Linked DNA regions of Schizosaccharomyces pombe. The protein of the gene in region 2 interacts with the protein of the main gene of each other region in a biochemical or structural test. Each region holds a gene or a part of one and is shown on either strand. Other genes may lie near its edges.

What was found. Proteins that work in one complex are often made in the same cells at the same time.
Region 1: the proteins of sid2 (region 2) and cdc11 form a complex in vitro, tested with the Schizosaccharomyces pombe proteins (3 studies listed by BioGRID, with this or other methods).

The regions. Positions count from the first base shown.
Region 1 is NC_003421.2:2,048,630-2,056,513, reverse strand, and holds cdc11 (SIN component scaffold protein cdc11), read left to right. Parts: upstream 1-3,910; 5' UTR 3,911-3,961; coding exon 3,962-7,099; 3' UTR 7,100-7,384; downstream 7,385-7,884. Other genes in the region: serine/threonine protein phosphatase PP6 catalytic subunit Ppe1, read right to left, coding at 1,979-2,896; protein mug33, read right to left, coding at 7,568-7,884. UniProt on the Schizosaccharomyces pombe protein: Essential for the onset of septum formation. Involved in the organization of astral microtubules during mitosis. Acts as a bridge between sid4 and the other SIN proteins mediating their association with the spindle pole body (SPB).
Region 2 is NC_003424.3:219,007-227,705, forward strand, and holds sid2 (serine/threonine protein kinase (NDR family) Sid2), read right to left. Parts: upstream 4,948-8,699; 5' UTR 4,847-4,947; coding exon 3,023-4,846; 3' UTR 2,688-3,022; downstream 1-2,687. Other genes in the region: cfh1 (chitin synthase regulatory factor-like Chr3), read right to left, coding at 1-2,449; dnf2 (phospholipid-transporting ATPase), read right to left, coding at 5,390-8,699. UniProt on the Schizosaccharomyces pombe protein: Part of a signaling pathway. Required for initiation of medial ring constriction and septation.

The DNA of each region.
Region 1 (7,884 bases), on a different chromosome or scaffold from region 2:
ATAAATCAAATGAAAGAAGCATCGTTTTTGATGCATGTAACATAGACATGTTTTACAGTGTTGCACTTAAATAGAATGGGAAATGTTCTGTAATATCCAAAATTTCATGGTTTTGATTTACCAGCGCATTACTAACGTTGTAGAAGGGGATTCGTAAAAGTTATATATAGTTAAACATGAAAATTGTGTGCGATAAAAGCCCTATGCGAAACATTAGCTCACTAGACACACAGTCATAAACACGATCACAAGTCCGGGCAGTTTGATTGAAAATGGCTCGTTTCAAACTATTTTAAATTATTTACAAGAATAAACAACCTTTGTAGAACACAAGTGAAAAGGATATGGAAAGAAGCTTGTAAAACAAGATGCAACTGAAAACGGTTTTACTTCAATGATAGCAAAGACATTTAAGAAAATGAAAATAGAAAATAAATGAAAAAGATCATAGATCGATGAGCGTTTGCAAATTTCGGAAAGCCCAATTTTCTTTTCAATTCAACAAAACCCTAGAATTGGGGTTAGAAAAATATAAATTGTCCGTTTGCTTTTACCAATTTTTTTCAACAAACAAGTTTAACTGAATTCGAATAAAAAGATCCCAATTCTCGCAATATCTCTCATTTTCAAATAAACCAGCAAATCCAATATCAATGCCACTTGATAACACACATAAAACTGATCATTTTAAATCCAGCATTCAGACGCAAGAAAAATGCCATGTCCTCAACGGAAAAAAAGAAAAACCAGGCCATATTCAGAGAGGTCATAAAAAAAATTTCAACTCATCTCATCACTGTATCGAAGACATCTTAAAAAGATACATAAAAAGCTTTATATATTCTCCATGTATGCACTGTATAACACAATTTGGGATAATCAGAGTACATGAAGACAATTAGTCTCTTTCAGGCATCAATTTTCGCACGCTGAATATCCCTCCTCTTCTTCTCGTAGACAAATTTATCAACTTCAAAAACAAACAAACCACTCCTTCTTCTTTTCGTAAATAAGAATGATTTAAAAAAAATACAAATACTACGAAATCCGGTCAAACGAACAAAAAATTGTGCAATGATCGAACAGGTGCTTATTAAAACTGCAAATTATGTTACTGACTGACTTTCCTTAGCAAAGCAAGCGACAATTTGCAAAACATTATTTTACAAAGGTAAGTAGAAAGTAAGAGAAGCGAAGCATGAAACAGAAACGATATATCGGCAGAGATATTATCAAGAAAATTTGTCCAAAGAACTGTACAGATATAATAATGCATACTAAACTTATATATAAGAAATTGATTATCAAAAATCACCCTTGCTTGCTTAATCTTAACTGACAAAACTGAGAAAAATCATGATATACATATCATCGTACTAGATGCCAAGAAACCCCAATTAAAGCAAGCTCGACGCAAACCCGAGAGGAATTATGTATAACGTTCTTGACAAAAGAGTGACAAGGCAAGCACTGCAACATGCGATTATTGGCTTTATGGACGCGTAGTAATGGAAACAAAAATTATGGAGAAGGGATCATTAAGAATTTTTGGGCACTAAGTAACTTTATGTTGCTGGAACAGTGTGGTAACGCAAGTCAATGCTATTGCGAAAAAAAGGTTAAGGGAATATCATCACAATGTGAGGTGAAATAAAATTGCAAACACCAAGTCGCTTTTTTGAAGGGAAACAATCTAAACTATAGCGACTGAAAATAGCTAGGAAAAAAAGATTAAAAAACAAACCCATGTAACTTATAATATCGTTTTGCGTAACAAGCTGCCAAGGAAAAATAGAATATACCTCACGCGCAAAGCAAACGGAAATAAAAATATGGAAGTTGAGAACTGGAAGAGAGAAAGAAAGTGTCGGACAAGGAAGTAAAAAAAGCTACGTTTTAAAAAACAAAAACTATTACATGTTTGAGGGGGTATATGTGTGCCATAAAAAACAAGATATTTGACTTGCACATACCAAAGTTAGATGAAATACTCGCTTCTTTTTCTGCTAGGGGGAACGGTACGATCTTCGTCGGCAACAGCCGAGAAAATACGAAATTCCGGTTCCAAAGATTCATCTACTTTCATAACACTTGCCACATTTCCACATCTATAGCAGTAATTGGGAGCACTCCAAACGGTAACAAGATTTTTATCGGCAAAATGATATTTGTAGCCCTCTTGAACAAGTTGATGAGCACGAGCAATCAATGTCAAGTCGTTGATTTGACTAAATTCGGTAGTAACTTTAGAACCAAACAACCATCCAGCTCCCCGAGGCGAAACAGTCCAAGATTCAATATCCTCTGGATCAGACCACATCAAATCGCAAAATGAGCCTTCATGGGGAATTTCTTGAGCACGCGCAAGAATACGAATCTGATCCAATGTGCGAACTTCCGGAGATAATCCACCATGCACGCATAAAATTTTGTTATCGATAACCGCTGCCAAAGTCAAAAAATCAAAAACTTGGCAACAATATTTCCAAACATTTGCATTTCCATATTTGGTTTGACACTCATCATAAAACCCGTAGACTTGAGTGATCTGGCGACTTTCGTGATTACCACGAAGCAATGTAATTTTATCTGGGTACCTTGCTTTCAAAAGCATAAATAACGTAAAAGTTTCTAAGCTAAAATAACCTCGATCCACAAAATCACCCATAAATATATAATTTGTGCTTGGCAATTCTCCACCTACTCGAAACAGTTCCAAAAGGTCGTAAAACTGACCATGTATATCACCACAAACAGTAACGGGAGTCCGCACAGGCTGGATATTGGACTCCTCCATTAAAATAACTTTTACCATCTCACACAATCGTTTCAACTGGTGTTCTGGAAGATATTTACACTTCCTTACTGTAGCGATCCATTCATCCAAGTCAAACATCGTTGTAGCACAAATTATTCAAGGATCTCTTCTAGATTATTAAACACAGTTATTTCTCAATACTTTCCTATTTAGAAATTGGCTTCCTAATTAAATATGTTGTTTGCGGAGAGTACGTAAGTTAGTACGTTGAATACTTAAGAGGGGTGTTTAACGTATTGTAACGATTAACGGCGTACCAAGTCTTTATCAGATATGGATGTTTGGTACATTCAAAAGTCGTATGAAAAAGTCTACATGTGGAAATGACCTTTTATATACAAATTTATATAGTCCGCTGATTAAATTGGGATGTCGTCGAACACATTTTATCCTTATTGCTAACGTCAAATTTTGTTGCAAATTTTCTTAAATTACCGAGGTGGGATTGCTTTAAATTATAAATACTTGTAGAGTTTTAAACGATTGAAAGTCTAGGTCATGAGGCGAAGATGAGAGAGTAGCATAACGAGAAACGTTGTCTGTAGAACGACAATAAAAGTGTCGTTTCCATAACCTTTAAATATAGTAAGCGAATTTAGGATCAGTTCGAAGATTGTTGCAAGCGTAGATCCAACTTGTGAAAAACTTGCTTACTAAAGAGCTTTCAAAGTCATGAAGAATATATGATATCTTGTTGATATAAATGGCATCTCCGTCGTCAAGTATGCGAAACCGTAGGCAAAAGAAAAATCGTACAGAGAAGGTTACCGAAGCAATTGCTATTAATTGTTTTTTATCGAGTCTTCCGAGTTAACAGAATAAAGTGAATCTCTCATGCACAAGTTTATCAACTCTTAGAACTACTTATAGCTTTGATTTTTTCCTCAAATACTTATGGCCATAATTTTCCTTCTGAATAAATAAATTTACTGGAATTCAACGTAACAAACAAAATAACGCTATACCCTTATTGTGGAAAATATCGTAAAATATGATAAGCAGCATTACGAATACGCTTGAATATCCTATGTCAAATTGTGCAAAAGGGTGATTGAGTCCCAGTACCACGACATCCCGTCGCGTCTCATAGACGTAAACAAAACTTCTTTTTTCTATGGAAGGTATGTGTGCTTTTCAGAAATCATGGAACAGTTATGGCTTGAACATGATTTAAGTGAAGAATGGATTCCGCAGCCACAAGAACAAGGGTCAGACAATTCTAGTGAACCACCAACCACATCAAATGTAAACAATACTCAATCTACAGGTCGTGGTAGTTCAGGAACTTCGACAGAGCATGGAACGTTTAAGAAAGGAAGAAATGATGCTCCGGATGTTCCTCAATGGAAACAGGTGAATGCAAAGAACCCTGTTGCTCGTGATATTTTTGCAAGGTTGGATTTGGAAAATATGTTTGAAGAAAGCAGCAAACAAAGCCCCCCTTCAAAGTCTCCAACAAAAAATCCGTCCAAAAAGTCCAGTAATAACTCTTCTAGGCGTAGTTCTTCTTCAGTTGGTAAACTATCTAATGTATCGAACATGCAATCTTCTCCTTCTAAAGATCCTTTCGTTTCACAGGATTACGAAAAAGAATCTATCTCCTCTTCTCAGTTTAGCAAAAAATACTCAGAAGGAAGCTTGAAAAGTCAACAATCTAATACCAGGTCTAACTCGGTTCACGAAAAGCAAAATACGGACCATGCTAGCAATGCATCGTCATCCTCATCCGTTGTTTCTTCTCCCTCCTTGAAGCCCAATAATACATCCCCCCTTAAACTTTTCCAAGGAGCTAGTGATCCGTTTACTCGTGAGCATTTGAATCAATTAACTCAAGATGTAAAGTCCAATTCATTTGAAAATGGGGAAAAACAATTTTCACTCCCTGAACCACGAAGACCACAAAAACCTATGCGTACAACTGAACGAAAGGCTAGCCTCAATACCAAAGATCTCTATCAAGAGGTTGAAGAAGTCATGGCAAGATTGCGAGGAAGAATGCCTAATTCGGGACGAGAATCTACAATTTTTCTTCCTCGAAAGCTCAGCGGACTTCGTGAGGAGGAGGAACAAGATGAAATTTCAGTTGAAGTAAGTCAAGAAGATAGCTCTAATGCATTTCCCTCCTTAAGTGATCAACTTCATTTAAAAAGTCTTCAAAGTATGAAAAGGGTTACCTCAATTTTCAATGATAATGATGATTCCTTTCCATCCGCATCTTCCTCCCCTCAACGCCAGGCATATATGACCGATAAAATGCCACTTCGGGAAATTGATGTTGGCTCTTCACAATCCTCTTCCAAGACTGCCCGATTAAATAGCTCTCCCAAATCAACGCTAAAAACTTCCAGTGTTAAAACCAGAAGAAGTCACTCTGCTCAAAGCTCAAGAAAAGTGTCTGATTATCCCAATATGGTGGTTATAACGCCAGCAGATCTTCCTGAAGGCATAGATACAACTCAAGGCTCCATGGAATTTGACAGGATACACAATCGGTGGCGGAGAAAAGGTCATGATTCAGACTTGGGCTTTGATTTTGAAACCGACGAAGATGCTAGTCTTTCGCATCCTGAGCGTACAATACTGTTTAAAGCGGCATCCACCAGACATCAAGCGAACAATGATCCAAACAATTTGGAGAAGCAACAACCTCATTCCTTTCCTTTGCGTAAGCAAAATGTTGCTCAATCCGAATTTCCTAAGCATTCATTAAGAGACAATAGCGAAAACGCTCCGCAAATTTTATCTTCCTTTCACGATTTATCCTTACAAAATGAGAGCTTTGATGAAATGTTTAATGGCAGGTATGAAAATGGGTCACCAATTCCTTTTATTTCTTCAGGTTCTGGATTGAAAAGTAAAGCCGACAAAGATGCTGAATATAGTTTTTCAGTATCTCGTCAATCCATAATTCAAATTCTTTCTGATGTTGAACCATATGAGCCTTTCTGGAAAAGGATTATACAATTAGACATCAGTAGACGACATTTGGATTCCTTGATTGGACTTTCTGAACTCTGTCCCTCTATTGAAGAGCTCACGTTGGAAGGAAATGAAATTGCTTACTTAACAGGATGCCCCGTTACGATAAGAGACCTGAATGCTGTTGAAAATCGATTGTCAAGTTTGACTTCATTTTCCAACCTATTAAACCTACAATATCTGGACATATCATATAATCAACTAGAGGACCTTACTGGTCTTTCTTCTCTAATTCACCTTCGTGAGTTGAAAGTTGACAGTAATCATCTATGGAGTTTAGATGGGATTCAACATTTGGATGGATTGCTAAAATTAAGCGCTTGCAATAACAGGATTAAAGAATTGTCATTTACGAATTCCAATCTTCATCGTCTTGAGGAATTGCTCTTGGGAAATAACGAAATAGAAGAAATCGAAGAAATAAGTTCGCTTCAAAACCTTATGGTTTTACAATTGGACAATAACAAACTAACCAACTTGAAAGCTAGCCAACCAATGATTCATTTGCGAATTTTACGCATCAGCAACAACGCCATACATCAACTTGAGGTAGATCAATTTCCTCATTTACGAACTTTATACATGGACCTTAATCGATTTAATCGTCCCCCTGACATCCGTCGACTAAAACGCTTAGTCAATTTTTCGTTCAGGACTCAAGATCCTGAAGCCTCCAATTTTGTCATTCAACCCTCTTTAGATATTCGAAATCTATACCTATCGAATAACACCTTCGTTACTCTTGATTGTAAGCACATGTTTCTGGGAGTGAGGTATCTGGAGCTTGCAAACGTTCAGCTCAAAGAAGTACCTAAATACATTGCGACCAGTATGCCCAATTTACGTGTATTGGACTTATCACATAACTATATATCAGACATAGAGTCGCTGAAACCATTGCAAATGATCCACCGACTTTACTTAGTGGGAAATAGAATCAAAAAGATGCGAAATTTATGTGATATATTGGCAAACCTGAAACAGTTAAACGTACTGGATCTGCGCATGAATCCTCTTAATTTCAACATTTATCCCGTAATTGACGACTCTATTTATGAGCTCTCTGCAGCCTCAAAATACCAACAAAGTATCAACCAAAAAGGTCATCATAGAAAAGAAGACCCGCAAAAGCAATGGCAGGAGAAAGAGCTGGCCTTTAGTTCCACTTTGTCTGAGGCATGGAGAACAAGAAGAAAAATGTATGCTGAAGCTATTTTATTGGCATGTCCACACTTAGAATGGTTGGATGGATCTGATGTTTCACAATCATCTCGCGCTGCATTCACCAAATCATCCAACTAGTATGACTTGTGAAGATATAGCTTGAAACATTTTTACCTTTCAAATAGCAAGATTGTTTCGCTGTTGTGTAAAGGTTAATAATCACAATACATAATACACCATAATACTCGCCATTACCATAGTGTAAATAATAATTCGATTTCTGGATGGCACATACAAAATGAATAAGCATAATGAAACGTGAAGGTCGTCTAAAAATATATATATATTAAAAAAAAAGAAAAAGAACCCTATTGAAAGAATAAAAAATAAAAGAAAACCCCTCCAACTCTTCTTACATTCAACTAGCTTAAAACAGATAAATTCTATTGAGAAACAGTGACATTAAACACACACATATGTACCATATAAGTATCAACTAAATAAAGGAAAAAGGTAAAGGGGGGACGGTTAAAAAATGCTTTGAAAGTGAAATTAGAAAACATGTAGAGATGATAAATGATAGATAAAACTCGATTGGTCGATAATTTACGAGCGGCCCCATGAAAATCTGCTGGGCTTCTTGTCGTTATTGGCTTGAACATCATTAATCGACCATGGATTTGGAGCTGGAGCTGAAGCGGGATCTTTAAAGGGATTTTCAGGATCTCTAAACGGATTTTCAGGAGCCTGTTCTGCAGGCTTATTGCGCATAAACGGAAAGCGGAAGCCCGAGTTAGATTTCGGAACGGGAACGGGCTCACGAACAGTTGGGGCATAGGAAGACAGAGAACGACTATCGTTGCTAAAAGTAGGCTTCAATTTTGAGACAGAGCCTCCACGCTTGAGACCATCATCCTCGGAAA
Region 2 (8,699 bases):
ACCAAAAAATACTGCGTCGAGGTTCTGCTAAACACCCTAATAAACCGTGTTCATAGCACTCCCCAAGTTTACACTGGGCGGCAGCGTAGCCATAGACAGCTGATTGTTTGTAAAGTTCAAACTTTCTTTCAGGGGTTGCAGATACTCCGTAACGATCCGGTTGCTCATAAATCTTTGCAAGTTCATACATAGCTCTAACTGATTCGGGCCCCTTAGACTTACATGCACGTTCGAGCCATTGCACACCGAGAGATATATTGCGTTTTTGCCCTAACAAACCATTTAAGTAAATCAGAGCGATACGAAACATAGCTTCGACTACATCCATTTCAGCTGCCTTTTTATAGATGGCAACGCACTTACTAGTGTCCGGCTTAACCCCGGTACCAGTTTGAAGACAAACAGCAACTCTGTAATTACTCAAAGGATGTCCTTTTTTAGCTGCAAGGCTGTACAACTCAAATGCTTTTCCCAAATCGCGTCTAAATCCTAATACCCCCTGACTGTGAAATTGTCCTATTAAAAACAGAGCTTCGGGTACAGTATTCTGGGTTTTGCTAGGATAAGCATTCTTTTTTAAAAGTTCAACAGCTCTGGTTCGATAAACATTGATTCGAGTATTATAACTAGCCTGGTCGGGAGCTAAGCTCGGCTTGTTTTCTAAAGTTTCTAATGCATTCAAATAAACTTTTGCCAACTCAACTTCGTCATCAGGTGTGATTTGAGATTTTTGGCGAAGACGCTGTTCTTCTTGCATAGCGTCTCCGTGCGTCACAATTTTTGGTGACGGAATCATCAACTTATCATCAGGATGACAAGGAATCGCATCCTTCGTCTTTTCTTTTGCTTCTGCACCCACTTCAAAAATAGCGGGTGAAGAAGCATTACTGTTAGACATCATAGATATATTCCTTTCAAACTTGGAATTAGCAACCTTGGATGATACATTAGCAACCGATGTATTTTTGTGATTACCAATAGACTTATTACTTTGCTGTGGAATAGGGGAAAACGAAGGTGTCACAGCTAAGTTATGTGAAATCGGTGTGCTATCAGCACGCATTATCGGGGAAGAAACAGAAGGGAGAGGACGAATGTCAGAAACTAACCCATGGGTTGTGTGTACCGGAGGAATTGGCGATAAAGGACTTGTTTGACCGTGTATAGAAGTAGGCATTGGTTTAATTGCCTTAGGACGTGCAAGGTTTGTAGGATATGAAGGTAAATTATTAACAGTTGGGTTTGTGCGATTATTATCATAACCTTCGGGAGAGTTATTATTCGAGTTCCTCGAAACATTTCTACGATCAAATGTAGGAGCAGGAACCTCAACTGGAGAACGAGCTGGTAGCATTACCATTTGAGAATGTGGATAACGAGGTGGTTGTTGAAGTGTAAGCAAATCATCATTTCGAGGATTTTTCAAAGTTTCGGATGATTTTAAGTCATTAGAAACTGAAGGAAGCGAACGTTCATCGCTTTCTAACCCGAATGAATCTGTATTCGAGTCGGTTGATGAAAAGTGACTTTTTGAAGGGAGGTGTCCAGAGTTTTCATAAACTGGTCCCAAATGACGATGAGCAGGTTCTGCATCTGACGAAGCATTAGAAACTGTATTTGTGATGGAGTCACTTTCTGCTCCATCTTCTTCCTCCAAAGTTTCTATTCGAGAGTTACTCTTAAGCTGATTGTCTTCAAGTACAGTATCGTCATCCTTGTAATAGTTATCTAAGAAGTCATCAAACCCACCGTATGGTATGTAACTCATACGACGCTGTACACGACTTATAGAATTAACACGTGGAGGTGCCATATATTTTCTATGAGGATCCGGTTGTCCAATCTCATCCTTTCCATCATCTAAATTGGTCATTGGCGTTGGTCGCGGAATAGAAACCAAAAAATCTTCTTTCTGCTCATGATTTATTTGTATTGGGGCATCTTGCCGATCCAACTTTAAACTAGGTGAAGGCAAAATAGGAGAAGCCTGTCTCAAATTAGTGTTCAGCTTTAACCCACGGTTAACTACACGTTTGCTTGTAGGAGCAGGTGCAGCTGGAATTTTATACTGTGGCTGTGGCTCCGGCTTGACCGGTATGGTTGCACGCGGCAATTTGTCTTTGAAGGTATCTTCACTAACAACAGGCCGGGATATTTTTTTCTTGGAGAATTTCAATGCTGAAGGTGGAGTACCCATTGTAGCGCTCATTATACTAGCCCTGTTCGCGTCAATCCTTGAAGACAGGTCCAAAACATTCGTATACACTGGTTCATGGCTCAATGTCGGATATCTCGATGTAGGACGAAATTGAAGAGTAGGGGAGGATGAAGAAGCTGTGTTACCGCTTTTTAAAAAAGCTGGGGTACCCTCTGTTCTTTTTCCATTATTCGTTGCGAATACCAACTTTTCCTTCTCATACTTCCTCCGAGAGCTATGTGAATCTTTCATTAACAGATTAATTTACGAGTGAAATAAAGAGCAAAAGGTAGACGCTTTAGGAGGAAAGCAGTAAGAAACGAGGATAATGAGGTATCGCAGTTTGATGAATGTTACAGCTCTTCTGCTGTTGCCAACAAAACGAATATCTTACAGCTCACTAAACAACAAATAATACACGAAAACAAAAATTTTCCAAAATAGTAAAAATGGTTCAAGATATTAAATTGCAGATAGTGTCTATTTCCCTATCAAGTAAATGATTTACATAATTTATCTGGTAATTGCAAGTTCTTCTATATAAATGGCGAAAGCTGAATATTGACGAATAAAATAGTGGAAGATAAATAAAAATATAATATAATATAATGAAAAAGGATACTTCCAAATAAACATCATAAAATTAAAGTGATAACTTTCGCAAATTGTAATGTAAATGCCGTTCGAAAGTGAAATGCAATAGTAAAAGACAGTACTGTAAATGTCAAAACATCAAAAGCGAAGCTCAGTATCTTCGAAAATAGTTAATAACAGTAGATGTCTTATAAAAATACCATGAACAAGGGTCATTAAATTTCCCTTTGATTATAATAGAGTCCCGAAAGAAGGAGCAGAGAGGGGACTAGATAATGCGCTACTAGAGCTAGTAGGATGACTATTTTTTTGATGCCTAAAAGTGAAGCCGATAAAAGCATTGCGTTTAGGCTTATTAAATGTGTTAACCATATTAGCAATTGCAGCTTGTTTCTCATGAACTTCCTTATATTTAGACATATCATTTTCATTAGTGAAATCATCAAAATATCCTGCGTCAATCTCAGAATTAAGGTCGGGTACAAACGGAGGACGATATGCTGTACGAACATTTTTCCAATCAATCTTTGAGAAGTAAGGATGTTGCATGACTTGCTTAAGAGAACAAAAGCGATCCTTGGGATCAGTAATGCAGTGACATACAAAATCCCATGCATCATCTCTCCAGTTGAATTCCAAATCGCGGGGATCATCATAGTGAGGGCGTTGAAAACACTTGCGCCAATTCTTCAAGTTAGACCAGGTTTCATTAACATTGGAGCCAGAAAATGGAGGAAAACCAGAAAGACATTCATACATGATGCAGCCAAGAGACCAATAGTCTACAGAGTGGTTGTAGTTTTCACCTCGTAAAACCTCTGGGGCCATATAATCAGGAGAGCCAACTACTGAATGAGCGTATACAGGATCCTGAGATAAAAGAGTTCGAAACACTTGTCGCCTTTCCCTCATGCTCCTTTCGGGAACAACGACATTGTTGACTTCTTGAAGACGAATCTTCATACTTTCAATCTTCTTTTTGCTGATTATTCCAGAACTTAAACCAAAGTCCGTCAATTTAATATGGCCGCTAGCTCCAACCAAAAAGTTTTCTGGCTTAAGGTCACGATGGATGTAACCAAGTTGATGCAAAGCATCAATAGCTAGGAACATTTCTGTAGCATAAAACTTGGCATGATGATCCCTTAAAACACCACTGTTGCTAAGCAAAGTACGGAAATCACCACCAGGAACAAATTCCATAGCGAGATAAATGTTTGAAGTATCCTGAAAAGCATAAAGTAGACGAACTAACCATTCCGAGTTGGCTGTCGTAAGGATATCACGCTCAGTAAGAACATGCCTGATCTCATCCATTTTATGCAAAACCGATTTATTCATGATTTTCAAAGCAACAATCTCTTTGGTGTCACGCTTCCTAGCCAACCAAACAGAGCCATATCCACCTTGTCCGACTTGAGTGATGGTCTGGAAATCTCCGTGACTAATGCGTGTCCTCCTTTTCCTTAGATATACTCGTTCACGTCCATTGTATCGCTTCACTAGCTCGTCTCTTCGTGAATCAGGCTCTTTAAGCAACTGCTCTTCAAAAAGACGGGCTCTTTGCTTGCGGGTATAAAGATAATGAAGCTGCTCAAAGTAATGGTCTAAAAAGAACATTTGACAAATGGTTGCCATTCTCTTTACCTTAGGTTGGACCACTTTCTCCATTTCTTCAACTGACAAGTTCATAGATCCATTTTCCCATCTTGGTGAACCCGTTGAACTTCTATCTGACCAATGATTATTATCCTTGTAGCTCAACTCGCCAGATCTATCAAGACCACGCGGAATAGGGCTTGCAATCGGTAACTTACTAATGTGTTTTGAATGCATATGATTGTCAGGATAATTTTCCTTCGAAGATGCCACTGGGGAAAGCTTCATACTATTAAATTGATCCTCCAAATTCCTTTCTTTATCATTATTCGACAAGTTGCCGGGTTCAAAAAGACCATGTCGCTTCATATATGCATCAAATTTCTTATCTGCTTCAGAACTTAGCTGAAGTCCTAAATCACCTTCAACTGGTGACATATCATTAACACGATTCATTATTAGTTTTCTTTAAATATGTATCGTAAACATCCAACGTTTTGGTCCCCAAAAAATGCAAAACTCCTGTCAATAATAACCTTACGTGTTTTGTTTACGGCAGAGTACATTTCCATCGGAGTTAGGTATCAGCCATTTACCCTTAGCAACCAAAGTTTGATTACAGCAGTCGCTGGAAATTTCAAAACTTAAAAAACCAACCACCAAATTTACTACTTAGAACAAGATTGTTAAAAAGTCTGTTTTTATTATTTATCATACAAATGTAAACTAGATATAGTAAATTTATCTCGTTATTTTTAAAATGTACTGTGAATGCAAAATACATTTTAAATTTGATGCAATCTTTTGATTTCAGAAGAAAAATGTAAACGTTCATGTATTTTATTTAGTATGCAGAGATGTTTCTATAACATCATAATCATTATTCGATAATTCATCATTCTTTAGTATGAAAAGTTATGTTCTTAAGCATAGCGTAGAAATAGAATGGGTACACAGATTATCTTGATTAGATAATTCAGCTTATTAACTTGCCATTTTTTAAGGCCGTAACGGCTGTTCAGAAGAAGAAATGGAACCACGATGAGGCATGTATTCGCCTCTGTTAAGTATTTCATCAGAGAACACAGGAGAGCCCTCCAAGAAACTTGGAGTATATGACGGGGTAAAGCTTCTTGGCATACTTGATGTGAGTGTAAGCGAATTTGTGTCCAAACGTAAAGGTTCTTTCTTGGGTGTCGCCAAACTTGACGAAGATGCGTTGAAAGGGACCTGTAAAGTAGAAGATGCCCAATCTGGAGATTGTTCGGCATTCTCAATCTCCTCTTCTTCATCCAATTCATGAAGGCGTTTAGTGCGGTAACTTTCGCGAATGATATCCACATCATATGGCCAAAATAACTTTTGCGTTGTCATAAACAAAAACTTCGGGAAAAGACAACTTACAATCGTTCCACATAAAACAGCCCAAAAATTTGGAGTTCTGAATATACGCGAAGCAGATTTATAAAATTCATATGTATAAAGGCTTTGAGAGTAGACGCCAGTCCAAAACCAAAATGTCAAACAACTGAGCGCCCATAAACCAATTGAAAACACATCCCAATTTGATTGATTCAGAATAACATACGTGTCGACAACCATAATAGTTGGCGCAGCAACGTAAACACCTAAATCTTGTACAGCCATAGTATCACGACCATTCTGAGCAGCTGTGGTCACATTGTTAATCACAAGAAAAGAGAAAAAGAAACAGATTACAGACTGATAAAACCCATCAAGCATATATCCAATAAAGATTTTCCTGGCTGAATTTAATTGCAAAATACCACGCTTGTAAAGCTGAGGGATCCGAAGCGACAAATCAGCATTAACATCTTGATCATAGACACCCATGACAATGACAGGTAACGATGAAAAAATCAAGTTAAACAGCATAACATAAGTATAATCGAAAAGGTAATTTGCGTCGAAATTGTTGTAAATCTGATACCAGAATAAAGTAAATGTCCATACAACACTCTTGTAGAAAAAGTTGTTTACCATTTCAGCAACACGATTATAATCCCAACGGCCATGAACAAGAACCAGCTTGCTCAAAAATCGGAATTGACCGATTGCATAATCCGCAGACATAGCTGCAGCACGGCCTTCTTCACCAACAATACCAACACCAATATCAGCTTTTTGAATCATTGCAACATCATTCGCACCATCTCCAATGGCTAACGTCATTACTTCAAGGCTTTCGCGTACCAATTGAACAACATCTGCTTTTTGAGCCGGACTAACACGGCAACACAAGACAGCCTTGCATCTTTTACAAAGTAGCAGAAACTTGGTTCTCATTGGACCATCTAAAACTCGTTTAAGTACTGATCCATCAATAACTAACGCATGAGAGCCAGAGGGAGTGTCATGATCCTTCTTAGCAGCTTCAAGTTCTTCAACTGATCCAGACAAACCAAAATAACGATATAAGTAGTCAGCTAAAATAACTTCCAACTCTGGTGTTGACACTTCTTGGTCCACATCAAACTTAATCATGTCCATGCCAGCGTCCAATAAATTGCAAGAAAAACCAATATTAATAGCAGTCTCCATTTTGTCTCCGGTCAGAACCCACAATTTGATACCGGCTTGAGCCAATAATGCAATTGAATCAGGTACTCCTTCTTGTAATCGATCCTCAATAGCTGTTCCACCGAGCAAAGTAAGATGAGATTCAATCAAATCGGCAACTTCCTCTATTTGCTCCTCACGGTTTTCAATTGCAGATGCGGCGATGTCATACTTTTCTTTCCATTCGTAATATTCCTCTTCAGTAAGCTCTCTTTTTGCGATACAAAGTGTTCGTAAACCTTCCAATGCAAAAATTCTGAGATGCTCAGAAGTGGTTTTACGTAATTCAACTTGTTCATTTGGTTCCAAACGTTCGAAAATAATGCTATCAGCACCTTTGCAAATAAGCACATAACGGTTATCGGGTCCTTTAACGATCACACTCATTCTCTTCCTCGCTGAGCTGAATTCAATAGTATCCATCAATTTGAATCTTTGGGTTTCTCCAAGAGCACGAGTAACCATAATGTCTCTCCGCTGGTCCAAAAAAACAAAGCCAACGTCGCGGGCGGTACCCACGAGTGCAGCTTCATCTGGCGATTGTGCTTTATAGACAATCCGGTCACCAACTCTGTCTGCAACTACGCTATGACAAAGGGCCAATGCCAAGAAAAACTCATAGCATGCAAGTGACTGTTCTTCACCAGCTTTGCCAGCAAGGTCATGAACAAACTGCGACGAGATGAACGTGAGGTTATCATCCACAAGGTATTTGTTGTCGTGCATATTTCGCATTTGAGAAATCATTTGCATTCGGTCACGTTCAATGAAACTTTGCTTTTGAAGAGTCAATTCTTCAGTATCCTTTCCCTCGCGTTTTGCCATTCCCGCCATTGCTTCGGTAAATGCCTCACCATACGCAACTCCGTTGATCGTACATTTTTTAAATTCCATAACATTTTGAGTAAGAGTACCTGTTTTATCAGAAAAGATATATTCCACTTGTCCAAGATCGTCAGAAATATTCCAAGATTTTGGAGTACAAGCATACTTTAGCTTCTTATAATACATGTCTTTGTCGAAATATATAAAAATTGCCTGGATGGTCTTAACGATTTCAATTGAAATATAAAGCGAAATGGGCACCAAGTTTTGAAAAAGAATAACACCAGTGAAAAACGTGACGACACCATCTTTGGCAGGAGAACCACCAATGGAACCAAACTCAAAGTAATACGAGGAGCGAGAATGACCACGCCAGGCGATTCCTTCGACAACTGCGCAAACAAAACACATGGAGAAAAGGATAATGAAATTAAGATAAACATTCCAATTAAGATTTCTAGTAATGCGACTACGCTTTAATGGCGGAGCACCAGAGTTCAGCATAATCTTGGTATCATCGCCAGTAAATACGACAACTCCAATCACCCATTTTGTATTCCTAAGGACACAACCACGCAATAGCATTGAGTCCAGACTGATGGGCTCTGAAACAGTTTGGGAGGTATCAGAGCCACCTGCTTCAGAATGGACAAAGGACTTACATGCTCCATTATACTCATAAAGGTTAGCGTGTGGTGGTTCACTCTCTATCCAAAAACGACATCTCTCGCATGAGGCCTCGTCAACTACATTCTTTCCGCACGTTAGAGCGTGACGCATTTTTAAGTTGGTTTCACCATCAAGATTCTTGGTTTCAATGTAACAAATACCTTCAGGGTCGGATGAATTAATGATGACTATATCTGCGGGAATTTCATCATTATCCATAACTTTTACAAAATCA